5 linked regions of the Ovis aries genome follow. The protein of the gene in region 5 purifies or fractionates together with the protein of the main gene of each other region. This does not show direct contact. Links are inferred from orthologs where the notes say so. Each region holds a gene or a part of one and is shown on either strand. Other genes may lie near its edges. The genes, in order: XXYLT1, CSGALNACT2, METTL9, CLGN and SLC30A1.

Region 1 (4,446 bases), on a different chromosome or scaffold from region 5:
CAAAGCAGTGATGTTTATGTAGTAGTAAAGGGATAACTTTTTTTCCATTTTAATGCAGTTTGCAGATTTTTTTATGAATGTTACTTTAAAATAGAAAAAGTAAACATATTGTAACAGTTTGGGTATTGCATGGTAACACTTATGCTGCAGAAGCTTCCCTGGTGGCTCAGATGGTAAAGAAATCTGTCTGCAGTGCAGGAGACCAGGGTTTGATCCCTGGATGGGAAAGAACCCCTGGAAGAGGAAATGGTAACCCACTCCAGTATTCTTGCCTAGGAAATCCCGTGGACAGAGAAGTCTGGCAGGCTGCAGTCCACTGGGTTTCAAAGAGTCGGACACGACTGAATGACTAATGCTAACTGACTGTGTTTTATAAGGGAGAGGGGAAGAGAGGCGCTATTTCAATACACAGAAATAACCTGGATTTGGGGGACAAACTCCAGACAGGACTTCCTGAGATGTAACTCAAGGGAACACAAGCTTTTCCAAACCAGCCCTCCTGGGTGAGACCAAAGGTTTATGATCCACCCACATCCCATTCTCACTTTCCCAGAGAAAAAAGAACACTGAGAAAGAAACGAAATAAACCAAAATAGCAAGAATGTGGCAATTACACAAGAACCAAATCATCAACAAAGCACAAGACAATAGCAATTTCTATGATTGAAAACAATGGAAACAAAACAAGGCAGCAATAGAGAGACATGACGAACCCAAGACAGCACTAACAGTGCTTTGGAAACCAAGCTCCTTCAGAAAATTACAGGAATTCCAAAGGCTCTGCCCAGGAGGAGTTTTGCAACACTGCCAAGTGTTGTGCAGCGGCCAGACTGCTGGGCGGAAACACCCAAGCTCCGTGGAAGAACTCCAGGACGGCTCGCTTTATTTTATGATCATCAAACTTTAGGAACTCCTAATAATGTGCTTCTTAGGAAGCAGACTTTAGGTGGACGGATAAATGAACCTCTAGCATCATTCACCTAAAAACCCAAGAAAAGTGTCTGTGTTTGGGTCGGCACATCTCACACAGCACCATCCCCACCTCCTGACACTGGCCCCCCCAGGGCCCGTGGAGCACGTGGAGGGACACCTCTGATCTGACCTGTTGCACAGACAGCAAGACCCAGGCCACAGTCTCTTCTCTGAAGATGTGGGCCCAGGGACAGGGCCAGGCTACTGGGCAGGGCAACGTCGGCAAGGCAGACAGGAAGCACCCTGGGTCCCTAACCACAGTCATCGAGGCAGAGAATGGACCCTGGGTCCCTAATTCTTGTCATCTGCACTTAGAGTTCACAGCCTGGTCCTGACCAGCCCCTGGGTGCCCCAAAGCATGACCTGGCCTAGAGCTTAGCATATGATGGGCAGAGACCTACCAGCTGATGAGGGAGGAGGGGAAGGAGAAGGAGGCCTGCCTCCCCCCAGATCCCCTGATGTTCTTCATCACATCTTCTGTCACTGAGCTTCTTTCAAGGCCAATCGTGTGTCCTGCACAACAGGACTGGGCAGGCCCTCAAGGCCCATCTGGTCGAGAATCTCAAGTTGCTAGTTTAACCACAAAACCCTTTGACCAAATAGAATCCTGCTCCCAAGCCTGCTCTACACAGCGACCAAAATGGACTGTGAGGAGTGAGGCGCGGGTGGGAGAGAGAGGATAAGGGTAAGACCCCTCTTCTCTCTACTCCCCAGAACTACAAAATCTCCTAGGGTGATTCCTGGAAGCCTGGACTCTTCACTAGGTCAGCTCCTGCAATTCCAGGTGGGGACAGTGAGGTCTCAGCAAAGGCACACGGGGTCAGCAGCACAGCTGGGACCAGCTCCTATATCTGTCTGCTCCCTGGAATCCAGGAGGGCAGGGCCATAGCTTCCTGCGGGCTGAGATGCCCAGAGCACCTGCACAGGGTCTGCCCAGAGAGATCACACCTGCCCACCTGAGGGGAGAGGAGGGACTGCCAGTCACTCAGCTCCTCGGTCAGCACACACGTGTGTGAGCTCCAGGGCTGTGGGGGACTCGGGGCGCTGCCGGAGCTGCACCTGGTCTCCCCACAGCATCACAAATGTCAGCTCTCCTCCCGCGCCCTTCAGGTGGGTGAGTCCCCTCTCTCTTTGGACCCGCACTCACGAAGCTCCCTGAGCCCTCGCCTGACAGCTAAGAGAACAGGCGGGTGCAGGAACTTGCCCCAGGGAGACAAAGTCTCAGCCAAGATGGATGGGCTAGATTTCCTATGCTAGGACAACCTGCCAACAGGAACCCGGCCTCAGCCTCTGTCTCCTGAGTTCCTGCTTCACCAGGAATTCGGGCAGCGGTGCTCAGCTCCTCTCCCCCTCGGGGCTGCTGGGCAGGAGCAGTGACCTCCCAAGTGGCCAGGCTCACAGTTTGGAGAGCTGCTACCCCAAGATCCCAGAACTCCCCTCCTCACCCCTACAAAGCTCAGCTCATGGCTCACTGTAGCTAGAAATAGGAGTGGGCAGGGGGCAATACCCAGGGCTATTTGGAGGTGAAGAACCCAGAACCTTTATTTGTTCTGTATACCCCACAAATATACCCGGTAAATTTGTCCGGTATACCCCACAAATGAGACCCCCAACCCCCTACAAGGCTTCTAGTCCAAGGATAACCTGCCGGCGCTTCCACACAAGGCTGACCTATCACAGACCAGACAATCCACCTCTTCTGCCCCACAGGGACCAAAGCCCAGAAAATAATTGTGCATCAGAGTTTCAGAAAAAGTCCTCCTAAGTCATAGTGTGCACTTCCAACATCTAGGTTTGATAAGTTAAGTCAGATAAGTACAGGCTCAAACCAGAAAGATCAGGATCACAGACTGAGATACAGTGTCATTTATTCCAACCTGCCATTTTACAAATAAGCAAACTGAGTCTCAGAGAGGTGTGGGTGCGTGAGGAGCAGAGTCAGGGCTGGAGCCCAGGCGCCCCAACTCAGGGTGTCGGTCCTGCACAGCTCACACTGGGGACTCGTGAGTGGGCCCTGGGAGCTGTGCAGCCCAGGGCCCGGCCCTGGAGTCTCTGTGCAGGGAGTGCTGCACACGGAGGCCTTGGCTGCCCCTGCCCTCTCCATCGTGTGGAGTGGAGCTCTGTCTGCTCTCTGATACAGGGCACCAGCAGTACTGGAGCCAGGAAAACAGATGCAAAGTCACAGGCCAGGGCCCACTGCCCCACTGCTCAGGTTACCTTTGGGCATGATCTGATGCATGGCCACTGAGAGGAAGAAGATGGAGTCGCTGTAGTAGGTCCCAGAGCCAGCACTGAAGTGCTTCTGCATAGCCTCCACGACAGGGAAGAGCTTGTCTGTCAGCACACCAACATCGTGAAAGACGACCTGCAGGAGGGCACAGGGAACGACAAGAGTGAGCACCCCAGGCGGGGACCCAGGACACACACGGGCCGTGGACAGGACAGATATGGCCTCTCCAGGGCCCACAAGAGAGGGACATGGAATCTCGAAGAGCTAAGGAAACGGGGAACAATGGGGAGTCAGCAGAGTCCAGCAGTGGGGATGGGGCACCAAGTGTGAGGATGTGTAGGCAGACACGTGGGGCACAGTGGAAGAGGAGTGGGCGCCAGGGAACGGGAGCTGCCCCCGGTCTGCCTCTGGTTCTGCAATTCAGACTGCGCCACACTGGAGGAAGCTCTGTGCCCAGAGACTGGAAACCAAGTTAAAGGGTCTGGTCATGAAGTGAGGACCTTCAGCAAGTCTGGGGGCCTGGCACTGGCTCCAGCGTCGCCTGGAGGACACTACACGTGTTCTGCGTCGCAGTCAGACATTCCACCTCCCTGCCAACAGTGTGACAGGGAGAGGATCTGGCCACTAGAAAATGAAAAATGCCTGGAGATGCAGTCAACTCATCCATTGACTCAACTACCATTTCTTGAGTGTCCCAGACACTCTGGAGGTGCTGAGAGAGGTATCAGGAGAAACCAGGCACCACTTTCCTCAAAACACGTAGAGTCTAGAGAGGTCACCAGCAGCTCTGTCACAGGGCTCTGCAATTTATGAAACCCTCTCACACACACACAGATCCCCACCACAATCTGGCCTTCAGCAGGCAGACATCCAACTACAACTGAGAAAGTAGGTACTCAGAGACGTTACACTCGTCCAAGATCACAGCGCTAACAACTGCCAGAGCCAGAACTGAACCGTGGCCTCCAGACTCCAAGCCTTACACTCTTTCGTCTCCACACAGCTCCTCTTTTCCAGTGACCCACAGAAGAAAACATCAGCAAGATCAGCAATTAGAGACAGGAGAGCCTCCTGAGTCAGCTTCCCTTGTTTGGCATTATTCCAGATGATCAGCCCATCCCACAGAGAGCCCCAGCCTCACATGAGACATAGATTACCATGCGCTCTGCTCACATACGTCTTGCAAGCCTTCCCTGTTGCTCGTGTGCCCCGCAACACCCAGCACATTCCACTGCAGACAAAAG
Region 2 (4,446 bases), on a different chromosome or scaffold from region 5:
ATTCAAACACAATTATAAAAGTAATCAAATTTAGTTCCTAATAGTTGTTACCCTCAATTTACTTCACAGTTCAAATTGTCAATAACACAATATACTATACATGCCTTAAGAATAAAGGGATATCAAAAACATAAAGTTCCCCAAAGCCTATAAAATTATTCTGCAATTCTAAGTAACCCTACTCAGTGAAGGTAAACTAAATAAAATGGCATGAATTTTTTTTTTAGGAGCACTTAGCCAAACCACTAAGCTCTGGGAATTACCTGAAGTTCTGCATAAACTGTGCAAATGCTTCAGTTCTTTCAGCAAGTGGCACAATGATATTAATAATTGATCTAGTAATGTCAATCATCTCACTCTTCACTTTCATGAGAGGTCCAAAAGGGCGAAAGAGAGTCACGTGTCTATATTCCATAAGGTCTGCTTTCTTAAAGAAGAGTTCATACTGTGTGCCCTTATCTTTCTCAGTGCGATAATAACCTAAAGGAAAGAATTAGGAACAAAGATGTCTCCATATCAAAGCTCACAAATTCAGTGTGACTATTGACTTTACTCAACGATCAAAAGTGTGAAATCAGACTTGTACAGCTTTTATACATTTGTGAAAATTTTATCCCCATGATACAGTCAGTAAAAACTGCTACTTCAAAAGATTAAAAAAATATTTTGCTCTATTATTCAATCCATAAAATTTACTCCAAATGATGATGATTCCTTTTTACATGACTTTTTTTTAATAGCAGAATCTATCAACACATAAACCAAATGATGAAAATAAAGAGATTACTTCTAGCAATATTAAATTCTAGACCTGAAAGTCACAACTTCTGTGTCAGGTACTAATGGTATAAAGATGGCTACATGGTCCCAGTTCCGTCTAGCAATGGAGACAGAAAAAGGAAATAATACTATAGTGATATACACATGCAGAAACACAACAGAATGAAGTCAGATGAAGAAAAATTAGTGTAAGTTTAAACATGGTGATCTGAGATGCCTCTGGGAGAAAAGCCTGGAAGTCTATTAGGCAATCTGATTTTGTAAGTGTGACACTCAGGAGAGAGATTAGACCTACAGATGTGTCAGTCAGCCAATATCTGGAAATAAAATGGTGAACAAGAGCTTCCTCCTGAGGCTTACAGTCTAACAGAACTACAAACCAGGAAATGGGCAATGCGGTATATTAGGACAGTGCTCTGAGAGGGGGCACAGGGTAGAGATTATAAGAACATATAGGAACACTGTTATCTTAAACTTTTAGGTTGGCGATGACCTCCCCAGAAGAAGTGACATCTAAGCTGAAGTCTGGAAGAGGAACAGGAGCTACTAAATCATTGTCCGTAATTATTTTTCTGATGAGGGAAGTGGCACAATGGAGGAAAACCAAGGGACAAAATATGTTCCATAACGGAGAAAAATCCTGTAAGTGACAGAATCCCAGGAGAATTATATTTAAAAAAAAAAAAGCAGAAGCTACAGAATATAAAACTGGCATAGGTTCCTTTCTTTTTAAGAAGACACGAAGACATCTTACATATCTTAGTTACTTCCTCTGCAGCTTTCAATTCTGCCATAAGCTATAAACATACTGAGTGAAAAGATAAAAAGCCGAGCCTGCAGAAAAACTACAGGAGTTTTGAAAGAAACAACCCATCAAAAACTGCAGGAAGTGACGGGGTAAAAAGAGATGGCTATACGGAGAAGATAGCTGAAATGCCACAGAAAAGTACAAGGCCCTTGGTGACGGCCTCCAAAGGCTGAAGGCATTATATTATAGCAAGTGATACCCATGAAGATTGGGGTGAAAAAAAACAAAACCCAAAAAACTACATGTGGCATACAGAATCATGCAAAGAGAACTTTTAAGAAATATTTGTATTCAAAACGGCTTTAAGCCTACAACTAAATATCTAGCATGGGGTATAAGATGGAGATGGGTTAGGGCCTATAATTATTCCTGATATAATCTATAATTATATCAATCAAATTTCTTAAATGTATACGAGTGCTCCTCAACTTCTGAGTCGTGTCCCATCTTGACATATAAAAATGCTGTGCCCTTTCTGCAGTCTGTATTAAGAAAATGGGTTTATTTCTTTACTTTTCCAAATGCCAAATATGCTTTTCAAAATTATGTATGCCTCCTTGATGTTCTGACATGTGTTTCTCCTCCACTCGAAATACAGAATTACCACTAATCTTAATTAGGTTCTTTTTTCCTTTAGCAAATGGTTTTCAAATTTTGAGCCTTAGTTCATACATTTTAAAAAATATAAAAAAGGAACATCAAAACCAGTTCAGAGATGAATGCAAATACATATACATGCAAATACACACACAACCCTAAGAGCCGTTCAACTTGGGGCGTATTCTGCTATACAAGCTTAGACTTATTCTATTTCCCTGGTTCTTATTTTCTATTTTATTTTGATCACATTATAACTTTTTCTGACATATTATCAGCATACAATAACAGAATTTTGTCATACTAATGTTAACAGATCAACACATTTTTCACATTACCTTCTATGAAGTCATTTTCATTAAATATCAGTTTCTCTCCAAGGGGACCATCCTCATCTTCCTGCTCATCATCTTCATCAGGATTATTAATGACCTCCAAGCCAGCTTCAATAACTTCTACCAATTCATCTCGCTTATCTTTTCTAACTGGCTTTTCCTCAGGATGGCGAGTGAGACCCATTTCCAGCTGGAATACTTTCATTAAGGTAAAACTTTCAAAGGGAATGACTCCATACTCACTAGGTAGTTTGGCTCCTATGCTAACTTCAGCTTTGTCAATTTGTGAATGAAGAAACTCTAAAAGATCACTAGGTGCTTGTTCTTTGTTGCCTTGATAGCTTATGCCATTAGCCCCTACATTTTTTCTCTCTTGCAAAGATCTCATCTTCTCACTCATTTCTTGTAGTTCTTGTTTCAGTTGGGCAATTTGGCGTTTCAGACTGGTTGCTCTGGTTTGATAATGTTCTTCTTGCTCCTGTAGGAGGGCTTGATAATACTCTTTACCATAATTTTCCCCAATGATACCAGGAAGAGATGCATTTCCATCAGTCTGGGGGGCACATTCCAGAAGGTATAAAAATAATATCAAACTGCAGAGTAAAGCAAGACCCAAGAGTAGCCAGTGGGTCCGGGTGTGAAGAATCAACCCTCTTCTAGGCATTCTTATTAATGTGGACTTGCCTAATGAGATGAGCTCTTTGCTTGTTAATACCTTTTGCCAAAGGTTATAAAAAAGTAAAAACAAAATCAAGATTTCCATAAAAAGTACCAAAATGAATTTGGCTGTAGCTTAAAAAATTGCTTCCTTCAGCAGTGAGGACTACTTGCAGACATGAGAAATAATGCATATTTCCTATACTGTTACTGTGATATCCAGAATAAAAAAAACCTGATCTACACAGTCAGATAAAATCCATGGGTGTTGATTTTTCTGAAAGAAACACATCAGAATCAATCAGAATTTTGTTTCCTTAAGTATATCAAACTGTTGACAGCTTTAGTAAGCTTAGCTATGTGAAATCATAGGCAGAGCACCATGAGAGCCACTAATATACTATATAATATTCAGTTAATGCTGGGGGAAAGTATTAAGAAAAATACCTTCTGAAACACTAAAATACATGAAATACTTTCAACCAGAATATCTACACATCCATAACTTGAATGAATCAAGAAAACATTAAAATTATGTTTAGCGTTTAGCATAGTTTGTGTTACACAGATTATATCGGTCCCTAACTATTTGTAAATTACATCACGTATAACTCTATACTAACATAATATTTCAATTAACTCACCATTTCCCAATTATAATATATCACCATTTGGGAGCTGAATTGTTTTTGTTATACTGATAATGGCTTTCTAGAGAGAGAGATTTTCTTACTGTTTATTCAATTTAAGCATTCTACTTTATTAATTTCTATAGCTCAACTTAGTGAATCTAAAAGACTTAAAATTAAGTGCACGGGGGGAAGCAATTTCAGAAGGCCACAGACATCTGGAAAACACATTAAGAAACATTTTTATATCCAAAGTCTTTCTTCCAGTAGATTATTTGAGCATTAGATCACATAATTCTTTCCACTGTATTACACAGCAACAGATTTCCTACAAGTCTGGAAAGGTTTGGAGTCTATATAAAGACATGAACATGTTTTTCTGCAGGAAAACATTAAAGAATCCATTATGTGGGTTAGTCGCTCAGTTGTGTCTGACTCTGCGATCCCATGGACTATAGCCCACCAGGTTCTTCTGTCTATGGAATTCTCCAGGCAAGAATACTGCAGTGGGCTGCCATTCCCTTCTCCAAAGAATCCATTATAAATTTACAGAATTACATGCTATCGTTCATACTACAACCAGTTATGTGAGCTCTTCGATGTTTCTTTCTAACCTTTAAGGATACTTAATTTTAGAAAC
Region 3 (4,446 bases), on a different chromosome or scaffold from region 5:
CGTCTCAATGAGGTCTTTCCGTGAGCATCCTCTTTAAAATTACAGCACCTAAACCCAACTCCCAATCCCAAGAAGCCCCTTTTTTACCTTTATTGTTTATTTTTATTCGTAACACTTATCACCAACAACATGCCATTTGTTTACCATCTGTCTTCCTCACTAGAACCAAGCTCCATGAAGACAAAAGTTCTTTGAGACCCCATGGACTACACGGTCTGCCAGGCTCCTCTGTCCGTGGAATTTTCCAAGAAAGAATATTGGAGTGGGTTGCCATTTCCTACTCCAAGGGTTCTTCCTGGCCCAGGGATTGATGGGACCTAAAGTGTGATGTACCAGGGAGATTTCTGGAAAAGGTTTCCCTCACTTTAAAAAAAAAAAAGTATGGGAGAAAATGCTTCTTTCTTTCCCAGGCTCTGTCATGCCTACACATGATGCCTGGCGCCGCATCAGCCATTTTGTAACTTCGGGGGATGTCAACACACGGAAGATGAAGAAATGAAAGCAAGTTCTGAACTTCAGTGGGTGCTTTCATCACTGAATTAACCAACCCTGGAATCACTCTTCTAAGATAAACTCTTATTTTTCAGTTGCTTCTTCTGTTTCTTGAAACAGATAACATCCCGATACCTACTTACACATGTGTGGAAGACTTGCCTAAGAATATTCATTTCACTTGTCTTTACAAAGCAAACTGCCAGTATCCATAAGTACGTCAACAGAGGCCTCATCAAGTAAAAGTTACCAATGCCCAGCGGTGTACTGGTAAATGTTTACCAATGAGCTAGAAGAAGGGAGAGTCTATTTGTAGAGTTTGCCCGTTTCCATGGTGTAAGTACTCCCCTCGAGGTCAACTTCAATAATGGCCAAGTTTAACAACCAGCTCACTAAATTCCTGCCAATACAACAATCAGCTCTCCTGAGCCTATAAAACCAGCTCCAGCACACCAATGCTTACACGCAGACAAGGACATAGACACTTACGAATAATTTCCTAGATATACTTAAGCGAAAAAGGGCAACAAAAGTATTTATAATGGGCTTGGATTATAGAATCAATTTTTTTCATGTCCAAGCATAGTTGCATAGACTATCTTTAGAAAAATAGTCAAGAAACGTGAACAAGATTGTGGAACTGGAGTGGATAAGAAAATTCATTATATACTCTCTAGGAAGCTGCTTAACACTTTTTTTTTTTAACCATGAATTACCTTTTTACAAAAATCACAATTTAAAAAAATTAAACTTTACTAAATTTTCAATATAAATTTTTGCAATATAAGTCTCCTTTTCTTGATTACATACTTTCCCCCTTTTTGATGCTTGAAACAATTCTAGTGAGATTTAACCCCTAACCAGAACTGGGTCAGTACACCAAACAAACTGAAATTAAAAAGATATATCTTGCATTTTTCCCCTAAATTGATCTAAGCAATAAAATTGCTGTTGTTCAACTTTAAGACCAATCAAAAAAACTATACCAGTAATTACTTCATCTACAATTGCTTTTGTTAAAATAAATTGATTCAGAATGCAAAGTACACTCAGATATTCTTAAACCAGTCCTGTATTCATGAACTCACACAGCAAGATCACTTTGTACCTCATAAGTCTTCACATGGGGTCACATGGAAATCATCAGGATCTAACTCAGAGAAAGGAAGCAATAACGGAGTACCACAAGCAGTCTACAAAACTTATAGGTCACTAAAGGTCACCCACAGCAACAAGGCTCTGCATCTCAGGTTTGCTCTATGTCACACACCAGACCACTTGAATTGAACAGGCAATTCGGCACATCCACAAGCAAGGAGTCTGTTTTCAGACCTTTACTAGAGTCTGCCCTCTTGTCCAGTTTAATGTCCTCTCAATTTTTAGTGTCAGAAACACAAGGAAATAGATTTCATGTTTAGACTGACGTTTCTTCCCCTGCTCATGTCCACCTCCTGCTATGCCAGGAAATAGCATTAAAGTTCCATCATGTGGTTGCCCAACAGGACACAAGAAACCCAGACCTGCCAGCTGATGACTAGTGATGGCAATGCAGTGAGAGGGAGCCGTGGTATAACTACCGAGGGAACAGCACTGAAACAGGTCAGGCCACTGAACTATCAAGGGTGACATTTCCCTACCCCACAAACTTATGCGTGGTGTGGTACTCACATGTTCAAGCAGTTTTTTCTTTACCATGACAAAATGGCTCAACAAAGGAATGTAAAAATGGAGATGCTAGATGTAGGGGCGGGAGGGGACGACATCTATTCTATCTATCCTCTTTCTACCTTCCTATGTCTAAAGAATTCTCCATTTTCCCCACCATCAACAACAAATCCACAAACATTTGGTAAACGTTAAAGACAAGCACTGAATTAGAAGGAACTAAGACCTGATGGGGGAAAAAAATAAGAACAAGAAGAAACAAAGGGGCAAGTGAGTGGCAACACAAATCCATGGTTATAAGCAAACTTGAGCATTATTCCTTAGGATGAAGATTTTTACAGGTATTTGATAACTATGATGCTAGCAAAATATTACTGGACTTCTCAAGAATGCCAACAAGTTCTTAAAGATTTATTTGAACCCAAAGTTGAACAAGGCAGTAAAAGAGGAAAAGATTTTCAAATATTAACATGTGTTACTTATATAATAAATAAATTTTACATTATTGTACAATAACTTACAAAAATGCAAATGAGGCTTAAAGTCAAAACTTTCAACATGATCTAAAATGCAAATCAAATAAGTTAAAGCCAAGTGTGAATTAATGTGACTATGGCCAAAAGTCATAATAAATATGAGGCAGTATAAAATCCAACCATTTCTTCTGAGATATTCTTCATTCAGTATTGTTAAAGAGTAAGACCATGTGACTGAAAAACCAAACGTCAAAGAAATGATACGCGTTGGGACACAAATGGTCTTCTAAAGGGAAAATGGATAACAATAGCATTTATCATTTTAGGGACAAGAGATGTAAAATACAAGATAGCTATGACATTTAACAAGTATATTCAGATAGATTAAAAGGCATCATTTACTGCTTGACTCAGCTCAAAAAGCTAATAAGTTAGTGGCGAAAGCTCCATTTAACAGCATTTCAGGCTTTTAATCTTGAGCAGGCAAATCCAGCTCAGTATTAATTATTATCACTGCAAAGAGAGTACAAAGAGAGCACTATAAAATCCACATTAAGACAAAAGTTAACTGAGGCGATATTTTACATGGGTTAACTGTACTTTGTTAAATATCAGGGTATTCTAAGAAATACCAGATCATGTCTAATTGTGCACAGCACAGAATCACAAACACCAGTGCTGGATAATAGGCCTACTAAGTGGGTGTCCACACTTACCGTTCTCCACATAGGGATGAAAGGGTAAGACCAGAGCAAGGATGACCCTGCCTCTGGTTGGCTCCAAGACACTTCTGATATCTTTTAACAAAGTCAGAGGCTGATCACAGCGGTCCAGCAAATTTAAGCAGCTGATGACATCATACTGGAACCCTGTCTTCTGCCATTCATTTATACCAAGCACTCTGGAAAAATTAGAAAGATACAAAAACCCTTAAAGACATCTTTAAAAACATTTAGATGCCAATAAAGACTTTGTCTTCCAAATCAAAGTAAGTTCAAAATCTTCATTTACAATTTATATTTGCAGTAATAATATGGCCATGCAAAAATAAACAACCATATTTCTTTAAATTCAACATTTTACCTATTTCCAAAACATACAAAGTTTCCTTTGTAAGAATTAGTATGTTGAATAAGTACAAAGATATAGATGATAAAAATGGTTATGAAACTAGAGCATCAAATTCTTGAACATCAATTAACGAACAAAGAATTCTACTTTTACTTTCACTGGGATGTAATTGTAGATTCCTAGGGTGCCTCCTATTTTAAGAATGGCAGAAGGCAATGGCAGCCCACTCCAGTACTCTTGCCTGGGAAATCCCATGGATTGAGGAGCCTGATAGGATGGGCTGCAGTCCATGGGGTCGCTAAGAGTTGGACACGATTGAGCGATTTCACTTCACTTTCACTTTTCACTGTCATGCATTGGAGAAGGAAATGGCAACCCACTCCAGTGTTCTTGCCTGGAGAATCCCAGGGATTGGGGAGCCTGGTGGGCTGCCGTCTATGGGGTCGCACAGAGTCAGACACGACTGACGCAACTTAGCAGCAGCAGCAGCAGGGTGATATAAGATATTTTCCATTTACAACCTATGATCTTTTGCGCACATCTATGTTCTAGGAGAGAGATACTATTTCATACTCTAGAATCTTCATATCTAAATAACTATAGAAAAAATAAAGCACAGGACATCCTACTACAACAGTAAGCGAGACCACGGTTAACACACCTCTCTCAGTGCTCAGTACCTCATCACACATAGTCACTCTCTCTCCTGCTCCTTCCCTCTCTCCCCTCCCTGCCTCTGCAC
Region 4 (4,446 bases), on a different chromosome or scaffold from region 5:
TAATATAAGGTACATTTTTCTTTATGGTAATTGGTTTTAAAGACAGATAGATTCTCCAAGATGTACTGTGTTGAAATATTTAGCTTAAGCTTTCCTAAGCAGTGTTAAGATTTGGGAAAAATAACTAGAACATAATAATTAAATTTTAAAAATTTCTATACTCCTCTAAGTGAAAAGTAGTTAAAATGAATAAAGATTTAGATTTCTGTTCCCACTTAGGCCTTAAACTGATAAGGTGACAAGATATTAAGTCTCATTTCTAACAGTAGTAATAACCGTCTCATTTCTATAAACATCAAAAGGCATTCAATCCATTTATGTTATCATAATCTAACAAATGAAAAGAAGACATATATAATTCACTATATAGTTTATAATGAAGTTATAATTTGGTGAAGCTCATATTCTGTCTACATAGATTTAAATATGTTTCTTCATCATTTAGTAATTATTGTATCTATTGACTCATCAAAAGGCCATCTGTATAACCTATAACCAGGACGATACCCTATTATTATCATATGCTAAATACTGTGTACCTCATTAGCATTTTCTATCAGTATCTTCACTCCCCAACCATCTGCAGCCCAGCGGTCTGCTACTTCCTTTTCTGAACAGATAATAAAATTATCAAAGTAGATATCAGAGGTCATGGACCAAAGCTCTAAACCAAGAGCACGGAAAGAAGTCAGAAGAAATGGGTGATTGTCTTCAAAATAATCTGGATTAGGAATTTTTCGAGGACTCCAGACACCCTGGAAAAAAAATAATTTAAATACATTTTCAAACAATAATTTCATTATAAGTGTTACTCAAGAAGCAGTTGCTGTTGAATGAAATTAGCAATACTAACTGGGAAAAAGAAAACTTTAACTGATAATTAATTCATTAGTAATTCACTAGAAATAAAATCTTGTTTCCTCTTATCCTGTACACGATGTTACCTATGAATAATACTGACTTTAAACTCAGCAAAAAAAAGAGGCAGAGTGAAAAATCCCACAGAAACTTGAGTATTTAAATTTCACAACTGATACTATATTAGATGAGTTTCTTTTTTTACATTTAGTAAAGATACTCAAGGCACGATATCATTAAAATTGCTCAAATCAAAGAGATTACTGTATGGCAAAAATGGAACCATGTCTTTTAACATACACTTATGATGGGCATCAACAGTCACTCATGGTTGAATCACAGAACAATTATTCAACACAGAACTTCCATTAAGTCTTAAATGATTAAAGTCAACCAAAGCAAATAAACTGGCCAATGTGATCACTCACTGACTCAGTCTGCCATCACCTATGACTATTCTGTGCCAGGCACTATGCCACCTGCTCTGCTGTGATAATCAAGGCGGACATGGTCCCTTCATCATGGCGTTTAAAGTCTAATGAAGGAAAGACAGATCTCAGACAAAACAGTTACCAAAACAGTCATTCTATGAAGAAAAACTATGGTGAGCAAAAAGAATCTATAACTGTATGTATATAAAATAAATGTTAGAAAATGTCAGTGAATAATTAGATAAAACTACAGCGTTAAACGGACAACATAAGGACTTCTACCCCAAAAGCTAAGCATACTCAAAAAAATCTGTTTTATATTAGGAAAAAAAATTCAATTTTAATAAAACCTGAGAGTAAGGAACGCATTATTTAAGCACAGACTTCAATTACTAAAATGTACAGTGTGAGTCCTCTTGATCAGAACTCAGTTCTTATATTTAATCCTAAAATAAAATATTCCAAAGTGATGTCAACTGATTACTCAGGAAAATAGTATGAAGTGATTTATCTTTAGTTATTAGTTTTATTACCCCAGGAAATTAAAAGATGCTTTACTTTAAAAAAAAGTATTTATTTATCGGCTGTCTCAGGGCTCTGTGGCTGCACTGACTTTCCCGCTAGATGTGGCAAGTGGGGACAACTCTCTAGTTGCAGAGGGCAGATTGGAGAGAACACTGTGGTGGCCTCTCCTGTTGCAGACCACGGGCTCCTGGGCACACAGGCTTTAGCAGCCGTGGTTCCTGGGCTCTAGCAAACAGGCTCAATAGCTGTGGCATACCGGCTTAGCTTCTCCCCGGCTCGTGAGATGTTCCCTAACCGGGGATCAAACCCGTGTCTCCTGCACTGGCAGGCAGATTCTTTACCACTGAGCCTCCAGGGAAGCAAGCCCCACTTTATTTTTTAAACATAAATTGGTTGCAGTCTATTTTCTTTGACTTCAGATAGCTAAGGCACATTATTATAAACCAAATTTCCTCAAGTTAACATAACATTATTAATAACTAGATGTATAAGAGAAATAGGCACAGCATTTTAAAAAGTTTACTGTGGGACGGGAATAAGTGGTTATTACCTGGTAGTTAGGGTTATCTATCATCGGCGGTCTCCATACTCCTTTGTATTTCGGATTATCTATCATGGGAGGGCTCCATTCACCACACCCAATCCGACATGCTGGGTTAGAAATATGAGGTGCCTCCCATTCTCCATCCATGTCTTCATTCCTTAGGGTATTAGAACAAAGCATGCGGAGTGACCTCAAGACTCCTGTCAGTCATATCAATGGTAACAAAAGAGCATGTAAGAAGCAGGAAACTGACATCTGAAGGTGAAGAATGCTTACCAGTCAAGGGGTTTCTCAGCATGAGGATCAGGAATAAATTTCGGTTCATTATCAAGCCAGCCATCAGGTTTAACAGCACTTGAATCTTCTATTTGGGCAGGTTCACTTTCATCCCTGTAAATACAGTATTTTATGCTAATTACTAATTATTCAAACAGTTAAAAATGCACATTACAGAATTCAGAAGGTACCAATAGGCACTTCCTACCTCTGTGAACAGAAGAGAAGCAAAAAGCAAAGGAGAAAAGGAAAGGTAACACCCATTTGAATGCAGAGTTCTAAAGAATAGCAAGGAGAGACAAGAAAGCCTTCCTCAGTGATCAGTGAAAAGAAATAGAGGCAAACAATAGAATGGGAAAGACTAGAGATCTCTTCAAGAAAATTAGAGATTCCAAGGAAACATTTCACGCAAAGATGGGCTCAATAAAGGACAGAAATGGTAGGGAACTAATGGAAGCAGAAGATATTAAGAAGAGGTGGCAAGAATACACAGAAGAACTATACAAAAAAGATCTTCATGACCCAGATAACCATGATGGTGTGATCACTCACCTAGAGCCAGACATCCTGAAATGTTAAATCAAGTGGGCCTTAGGAAGCATCATTACGAACAAAGCTAGTGGAGGTGACAGAATTCCAGTTGAGCTATTTCAAATCCTAAAGATGACGCTGTGAAAGTGCTGCACTCAACATGCTAGCAAATTTGGAAAACTCAGCAGTGGCCACAGGACTGGAAAAGGTCAATATTCATTCTAATCCCTAAGAAAGGCAATGCCAAAGAATGCTCAAACTACCACACAATTGCACTCATCTCACACGCTAGTAAAGTAATGCTCAAAATTCTCCAAGCCAAGCTTCAGCAATACGTGAACTGTGGACTTCCAGATGTTCAAGTTGGTTTTAGAAAAGGCAGAGGAACCAGAGATCAAATTGCCAACATCTGCTGGATCATCAAAAAAGCAAGAAGAGTTTCAGAAAAAACATTTATTTCTCTTTACTCACTATGCCAAAGCCTTTGACTGTGTGGATCACAATAAACTGTGGAAAATTCTTAAAGAGATGGCAATACCAGACCACCTGACCTGCCTCTTGAGAAATCTGTATGCAGGTCAGGAAGCAAGAGTTAGAACTGGATATGGAACAACAGACTGGTTCCAAATAGGAAAAGGAGTACGTCAAGGCTGTATATTGTCACCCTGCTTATTTAACTTCTATGCAGAGTACATCATGAGAAACACTGGGCTGGAAGAAGCACAAGCTGAAATCAAGATTGCTGGGAGAAATATCAATAACCTCAGATATGTAGATGGCACCACCCTTATGGCAGAAAGTAAAGAGGAACTAAAAGCCTCTTGATGAAAGTGAAAGAGGAGAGTGAAAAAGTTGGCTTAAAGCTCAACATTCAGAAAACTAAGATCATGGCATCTGGTCCTATCACTTCATGGAAAATAGATGGAGAAACAGTGGAAACAGTGGCAGACTTTATTTTGGGGGGGCTCCAAAATCACTGCAGATGGTGACTGCAGCCATGAAATAAAAAGACACTTACTCCTTGGAAGGAAAGTTATGACCAACAGAGACAGCCTATTAAAAAGCAGAGACATTACTTTGCCAACAAAGGTCCATCTAGTCAAGGCTATGGTTTTTCCAGTAGTCATGTATGCATGTGAGGGTTGGACTATAAAGAAAGTTGAGCACCAAAGAATTGATGCATTTTAACTGTGGTGGCAGGAGTCAACGTTGACATTTTAGGAATCAGTAAACTAAAATGGACTGGAATGAGTGAATTTAACTCAGATGACCATTATATCT
Region 5 (5,246 bases):
CTGCATGTATGATGTCGGGTCTTCACATTTTATGTGAGCAGTGGCAATGATTCTGCTTCCAGCAAGTTGCCAAACATGTAATTCATGAACTTCCTCAACTCCTTCAACATTTCGAAGTTCTTTTATCAAGTTTTTGATATCAATTTGTTTAGGAACAGTTTGGAGAAGAATAAGAGCAGACTCCTTAAGCAATGGATAAGTTGTGTAAAGAAGTATACAAACCATTACAATACAAAGAGTTGGATCTAAATACAGTACCCAGCAAGGACCAGCCTCTTGAACTGTTGCCTGAGTACTATTAACTAATTCTACAAATGCTTTGCAGGGGTCAGGTGTACATGGGTTCACACAAATCTCCCCTTCAGGACAACCTTTCCAATTAAAGTAAAAGACTAAGGCATTTACTACCACAATCACTGAACCCAAAGCATCTCCAAAGACATGCAGAAAAACTCCACGCATGTTAAGTTGTCCAGTCTTATCTTCATCCTCTTCCAATTCCACCTCTTCGGGTTCTCTGATAAGATTCCCATTCACTTGTACTTCCATTGCATCATTTCTGGACTTTTCTGGATCTACAAAGAAATAAAAATTCTGTATCAAACACATCTTAAGTGTTTATATAAACATTCTTGCCTAATTCCATTTAAGAGATGGAGGTGAAAATTTTTCATAAAACATACGAAGAAATGTGCTCAGAGCAATTTAATATAAGTTGACATACTGGGTACAGGCCAGGATATATGGTCAGGGGTAAATTAAGTATCATCATTAAGATGATACTCCTTTCTCATACTCCAACCTCCTACCTTCCCACTTCCAAATGAAGTTTACCTTTTCTGTGGGGTCCTGGGAACATTCTATACTTGTTGGTATATATCAAAAACAACAAAATTGAATGCTATCACCCCCAAATCATATGCAACTATGGATAAGTCTAATACAAACAGCTGACCTGACACAGAGCTCTAGTCACTTTTCATCATTAAAGCGTTAAGGTTAACTTTTAGACTTTTGTCACTTATAAATGATAAGAGTCCCTTGATAGAAGGGGTTTAGAAACTGACAAATCAACCATATAAGCCTATCAACAATCACACAGAGACTTCACGAAAAGTTGGAACTAAATGATCACTATCTATCCTACTAGCTCCTTTTAAGGAATTATACACACCAGAACAGCTTAATATTCTTTGGAATAACTCCTTGCAGAGTAGAAGTGAGAGGAAATTCAATTGTTTATTAAACGTTTTCAATGTACAACTTCAATTTCATTAACATGATATCCTGAATCCTAGAAAGAGGAAAATTGTCTATGTAGTGTCATGCGTGTGTGGTTTCACACAAATAGGTAAACAGAAATTGATATTTCCATATAAATGGAAAACAGTGGGAGGAAATACACCAAGCTATTAAAAATATCACTGAGATTGGTTAGTAGGGCATTAGGATGATTCCTTTTCCCATCTCCTCTTTCAACACCTATTTCCCAATTTCCTTCCAAGAGCACTTAATGTTTAGAATGAAAACTACACATTAAAAATATAAGATGAATAAATTATCATCACTTTTACCTTAGTACAGAAACGACAAATCCTAAGTGAAATGTTAAAACATGCCTTCCGCAAAAAAAAAAAAAAAAAAAAAAACCCAAAAAACATGCCCAGACAGGTCTTAAGTCTAGGATTTTCAGGATTGGGTTTAGACTTTAGAAAATTAACCGAAACATGCATTGCTGTTCATAACAGAAACCTTTAACCAAGATTTTGAGTTCAGGAAAGACAATCACTAAGATCGCTCTGAATACAACATTAAGAAACTTGTTTGAAGGGCAAAAGCGCTACTTGGACAGAGCAAGGTTCCAAACATCCAACAACTAAGGATCAAATCGAGATTCTCTCCGGTTTTCCAAGAGGGCCAAGAAATTTAATTAGGAAGCATTGCTGATCCTGCTAACGCCAAAATCAGACAGTCTCTTGGAACGACAGCCCGTAAGAGACTGCCAAGTGCAGCTGCGGACCGCAGCGGGCTGAGGGTCACCTCCTGACCTTTTGCCCGCTCTCACCACCGCGGTGCCATCTACACCCCCATATGGGGGCGGAGGACGCACTTCCCCGGCTCCTGACACCCGGCTGACAGCGGGGAGCGGGGGTGGAGGGGGTCGTCTGTTTCGGCGGCTTCCCCGCAGGTGCGGGAGCCCGCCCGGCAACGAGCGGCCCCGAGGCGGCGCGGCGCGGTCGGCTCGGGCGCCAGGGGGCGTGCGGGCCACCCCGCCCGGGGCCATCCCGGGGTCTGGGCTCCCCAGGGCCAACCACCTGCGGCGGCGACTTTTCTCTCCTCACCTGTCTGGTCCAATTTCAGCCCGTTGGAGTTGCTGCTGTTGGCCACCAGGATGTTGGTCTCCTCCTGGTCGGGACCCTGCTCGCCCGGGGTCACGGCGTCGTCGCTACCCCCGGCGCGGCTGCTCTTGCTGCGGGCCCCCTTGGGGAGGCCGTGGCTGTGCCCCCCGTGCGAGTGGCTGTGGCTGGAGTCGTCGCCGAAGCCGCTGTGGTGGTGAAAGAGACAGAGCCCCAGCACGTTGACCACCAGCCCCGCCACGCCGACCCCGAAGACCACCAGTGGCTGCTGCATCTCGTGCGGCTCGATGAAGCGCTCGATGGCCTCCAGCAGGATGGCGAAGCAGAGGCCGGTCAGGAAGATGGCGTTCACCAGAGCCCCCATCACCTCCGCCCGGATCCAGCCGAAGGTGTTCTTCTGGGTGGCGTGGGTCCGCCGGGCGAAGCGCTCGGCCACCAGCGCCACCACCAGCGCCAGCACGTCCGACAGCATGTGGAAGGAGTCGGAGAGCATCGCCAGGGACGTGGTCACCCGGCTCACCACCACCTCCAGGACCATGAACATGAAGGTCAGTAACAGCATGCAGAGCAGCCGGCCCCGGTTTCGACCCCAGCACCCCATGGCTGCGGCTGAGGAGCCCGCCCGAGCGCGGCCCGGACACTCCTGAGGAGGCGGCGAGGCGCCGAGGAGCCGGCGACGGAGGGAGGGAGGGCGAGCGGCGCGGGGCTCGGGAGTCTGCCGCGGGGCCTCGGTGACTGGACAGGAGCGGGCGAGCCCGGGGTCTAGCCGCCGAGCCCCCGCGCCTGCGGGCGTCCCCGGCCGGCCAGCGGCGCGCAGCTCCTCCTCAGGCGTCCGTCCTCGGAGCCGGCGCCGAGGCCCGGCTCAGCCCCAGCAGCCCCCCACACCCACAGCGGGGCGGCGGCGGAGGCGGCAGGGAGCTGGGGCTCCCGAAGCCCGCCGACAGAGAGCCGGAGAGGGAGCGGGCGGGCGGGCGGCGGGGGCGGGCGACCGGCAGCTCAGCGCTGAGGAGGCTCCAAGCATCTGCGGGTTCTCCGCGCAGGTCTTCCCCTCCGGCGGTCTTCCTCCGGTGTGGCGCGGACCGAGGAGGCGACGCCTGAAGAGCTAAAGAGGCGGCGGCCACGGCTGCTGCACTCGGCCCGGTGTCGGGCGCCTTCTTCGCCACCCGCCACCCCCCCCGCCTTTGCAGACGGTTTACAAAAAAACTTTGCTTTGCACTCGGAACCCCCGTTTTCACACGGACCCGAGCGTGACAAGGCCTCGCCGCCCCGCCCACCAGGCCCGGCACGTCTTCTCATTGGCCAGAACCCCCTCACGACAGCCGCCGCGTCCCGCCCACCCGCGCTCGCTATTGGGCGGAGGCTCAGAGGGGCGGGGAGGAGGCGGTGTCGCGGCTTCAACAGATGGGGGCGGGGCCTTTCCCTTCAGGAGCCGGGCGTGGGCCGGGGGCCGCGGCCGGGTGCAGCGACGGGCGTCGTGGGGGAGGGTAGGGGGCGCGGGCCGCGTGCAGCAGGAGGGGGAGGGGCAGGGCGAGGCAGGCGGGGTCCCCGCGGCGTGGCGGGCCTCTTGTCCAGGCGCTGCGGGTCCTAGCAGCCCACCTCACACCTGCCGGGGGCCAGCCAGCAAACAGACTTTGATCCTCCCAGCCGGGTCCACGTGGGGCGGGCCGCTCGGCCGCCGTGTGACAGTCGGCAGCCTGGGAGGGGCCAGGAGGGGGAGCCCCAGTGTGAGGGGCGGCGGGAGGCTCGGGGACGCGCTTCTGTCAGAAGAACCGCGATTAGGGCCGACAGACTCATAAACAAGTGCAGCACGTAACTTGTGACTGCTCAACACCGAGTTGAGGAGTTCGTCCAGGACGGTCCTGCGAGGCGTTGAATGGAATCTTTGTAAATGTTTCAATAAAGCAAATCACCCCCTATCGCCACCATCGCCCGGAGACCTTGTGTGAAGTCAGATATTTCTGTCACTGATTATCTAAGGATCATTCAGGGTGCAGACTTAGAGCAGGAGAAACCTGGGTTCTGGTTCTTGCTTTGCCACTAGCCAGCTGGGTGACTTTGGGCAAGTCAGCCGGTCTCTCTAGACCTGTTTCTTCGTCTATGGAGAGTAAAGGACTGAACAAGAGGAGATCTTAAGATTCCCCCTGACTTTAAAATTCTAAGGCTCTAAGACTTAAACATTGTATTTATACACTACAAACAGCAGAACCCAGTGTTGGTTGCTATGGGGAACGGGAGGGGCAGTGAGAATACGGAATAAGCTTCTGTCCAGGTGGAGGTGAAATATATAAAATTTTAAATTACGGTGAAATACTCCTGATAAATTGTGCCAACACTGCTTCAGATTGGATACATACCTTGCTGTGCTCTGAATGAAGACTAGCTAACTTGAAAGTGAAGGCTTCTTGAAAGTGGAGGGGTGGCTAGAGTCAGAGTGGCCTGAACTGGACTCCCAAAGGCCTCACTCGGCCCCTCAACAGCGAAAAGGACCTCCAACTGCTCTGGATTGCTGGGAGACAAAGACAGTGCTAGCCAGTGCCTCAGGGTCTGTATATAAGGCTTGTTTGGGGCCATGTATTTTTGCATTTAAAAAAATATTATTTCTAGAAAAGTTTATTCACTTGTATATGGTGTTTCTCATCTCACCATCCAGACTAGAGAGCCAGATCCTCTTCTATTTCTGTTCTTCCAGAATGCAAAAGAATGGAGGAAACTTCCTGAGATATTTATTGAGCAAGAATTGACAGGACTTGATTAATTGGGTATTGGGAGAGTGAAAGCTGATGAGGAGAATTTTAAAAACATAGTTTTTAACCCAACAAGGAACATATTGCTTAAAACAGGTGGAGAAGTTGGAAAGGGTGTGCAAGGAGCTGCTCTTAAGGAGAAAAT

Evidence for each region.
Region 1: the proteins of SLC30A1 (region 5) and XXYLT1 purify together in Homo sapiens (co-immunoprecipitation; 3 studies listed by BioGRID and IntAct, with this or other methods). This does not show direct contact. The link is inferred for Ovis aries from reciprocal best matches to the Homo sapiens genes SLC30A1 and XXYLT1.
Region 2: the proteins of SLC30A1 (region 5) and CSGALNACT2 purify together in Homo sapiens (co-immunoprecipitation; 3 studies listed by BioGRID and IntAct, counting the BioPlex papers as one, with this or other methods). This does not show direct contact. The link is inferred for Ovis aries from reciprocal best matches to the Homo sapiens genes SLC30A1 and CSGALNACT2.
Region 3: the proteins of SLC30A1 (region 5) and METTL9 purify together in Homo sapiens (co-immunoprecipitation; 3 studies listed by BioGRID and IntAct, with this or other methods). This does not show direct contact. The link is inferred for Ovis aries from reciprocal best matches to the Homo sapiens genes SLC30A1 and METTL9.
Region 4: the proteins of SLC30A1 (region 5) and CLGN purify together in Homo sapiens (co-immunoprecipitation; 3 studies listed by BioGRID and IntAct, with this or other methods). This does not show direct contact. The link is inferred for Ovis aries from reciprocal best matches to the Homo sapiens genes SLC30A1 and CLGN.

What each region holds. Positions count from the first base shown.
Region 1 is NC_056054.1:193,169,118-193,173,563, reverse strand, and holds part of XXYLT1 (xyloside xylosyltransferase 1), read right to left. Parts: intron 3,338-4,446; coding exon 3,190-3,337; intron 1-3,189. UniProt on the Homo sapiens protein: Alpha-1,3-xylosyltransferase, which elongates the O-linked xylose-glucose disaccharide attached to EGF-like repeats in the extracellular domain of target proteins by catalyzing the addition of the second xylose.
Region 2 is NC_056078.1:12,883,564-12,888,009, reverse strand, and holds part of CSGALNACT2 (chondroitin sulfate N-acetylgalactosaminyltransferase 2), read right to left. Parts: intron 3,455-4,446; 5' UTR 3,284-3,454; coding exon 2,524-3,283; intron 481-2,523; coding exon 264-480; intron 1-263. UniProt on the Homo sapiens protein: Transfers 1,4-N-acetylgalactosamine (GalNAc) from UDP-GalNAc to the non-reducing end of glucuronic acid (GlcUA). Required for addition of the first GalNAc to the core tetrasaccharide linker and for elongation of chondroitin chains.
Region 3 is NC_056077.1:20,675,894-20,680,339, reverse strand, and holds part of METTL9 (protein-L-histidine N-pros-methyltransferase), read right to left. Parts: intron 3,535-4,446; coding exon 3,350-3,534; intron 1-3,349. UniProt on the Homo sapiens protein: Protein-histidine N-methyltransferase that specifically catalyzes 1-methylhistidine (pros-methylhistidine) methylation of target proteins.
Region 4 is NC_056070.1:17,388,244-17,392,689, reverse strand, and holds part of CLGN (calmegin), read right to left. Parts: intron 2,749-4,446; coding exon 2,635-2,748; intron 2,516-2,634; coding exon 2,365-2,515; intron 756-2,364; coding exon 540-755; intron 1-539. UniProt on the Homo sapiens protein: Functions during spermatogenesis as a chaperone for a range of client proteins that are important for sperm adhesion onto the egg zona pellucida and for subsequent penetration of the zona pellucida.
Region 5 is NC_056065.1:71,351,640-71,356,885, reverse strand, and holds the start of SLC30A1 (proton-coupled zinc antiporter SLC30A1), read right to left. Parts: upstream 3,429-5,246; 5' UTR 2,959-3,428; coding exon 2,343-2,958; exon of another isoform or gene 2,249-2,342; intron 576-2,248; coding exon 1-575. UniProt on the Homo sapiens protein: Zinc ion:proton antiporter that could function at the plasma membrane mediating zinc efflux from cells against its electrochemical gradient protecting them from intracellular zinc accumulation and toxicity.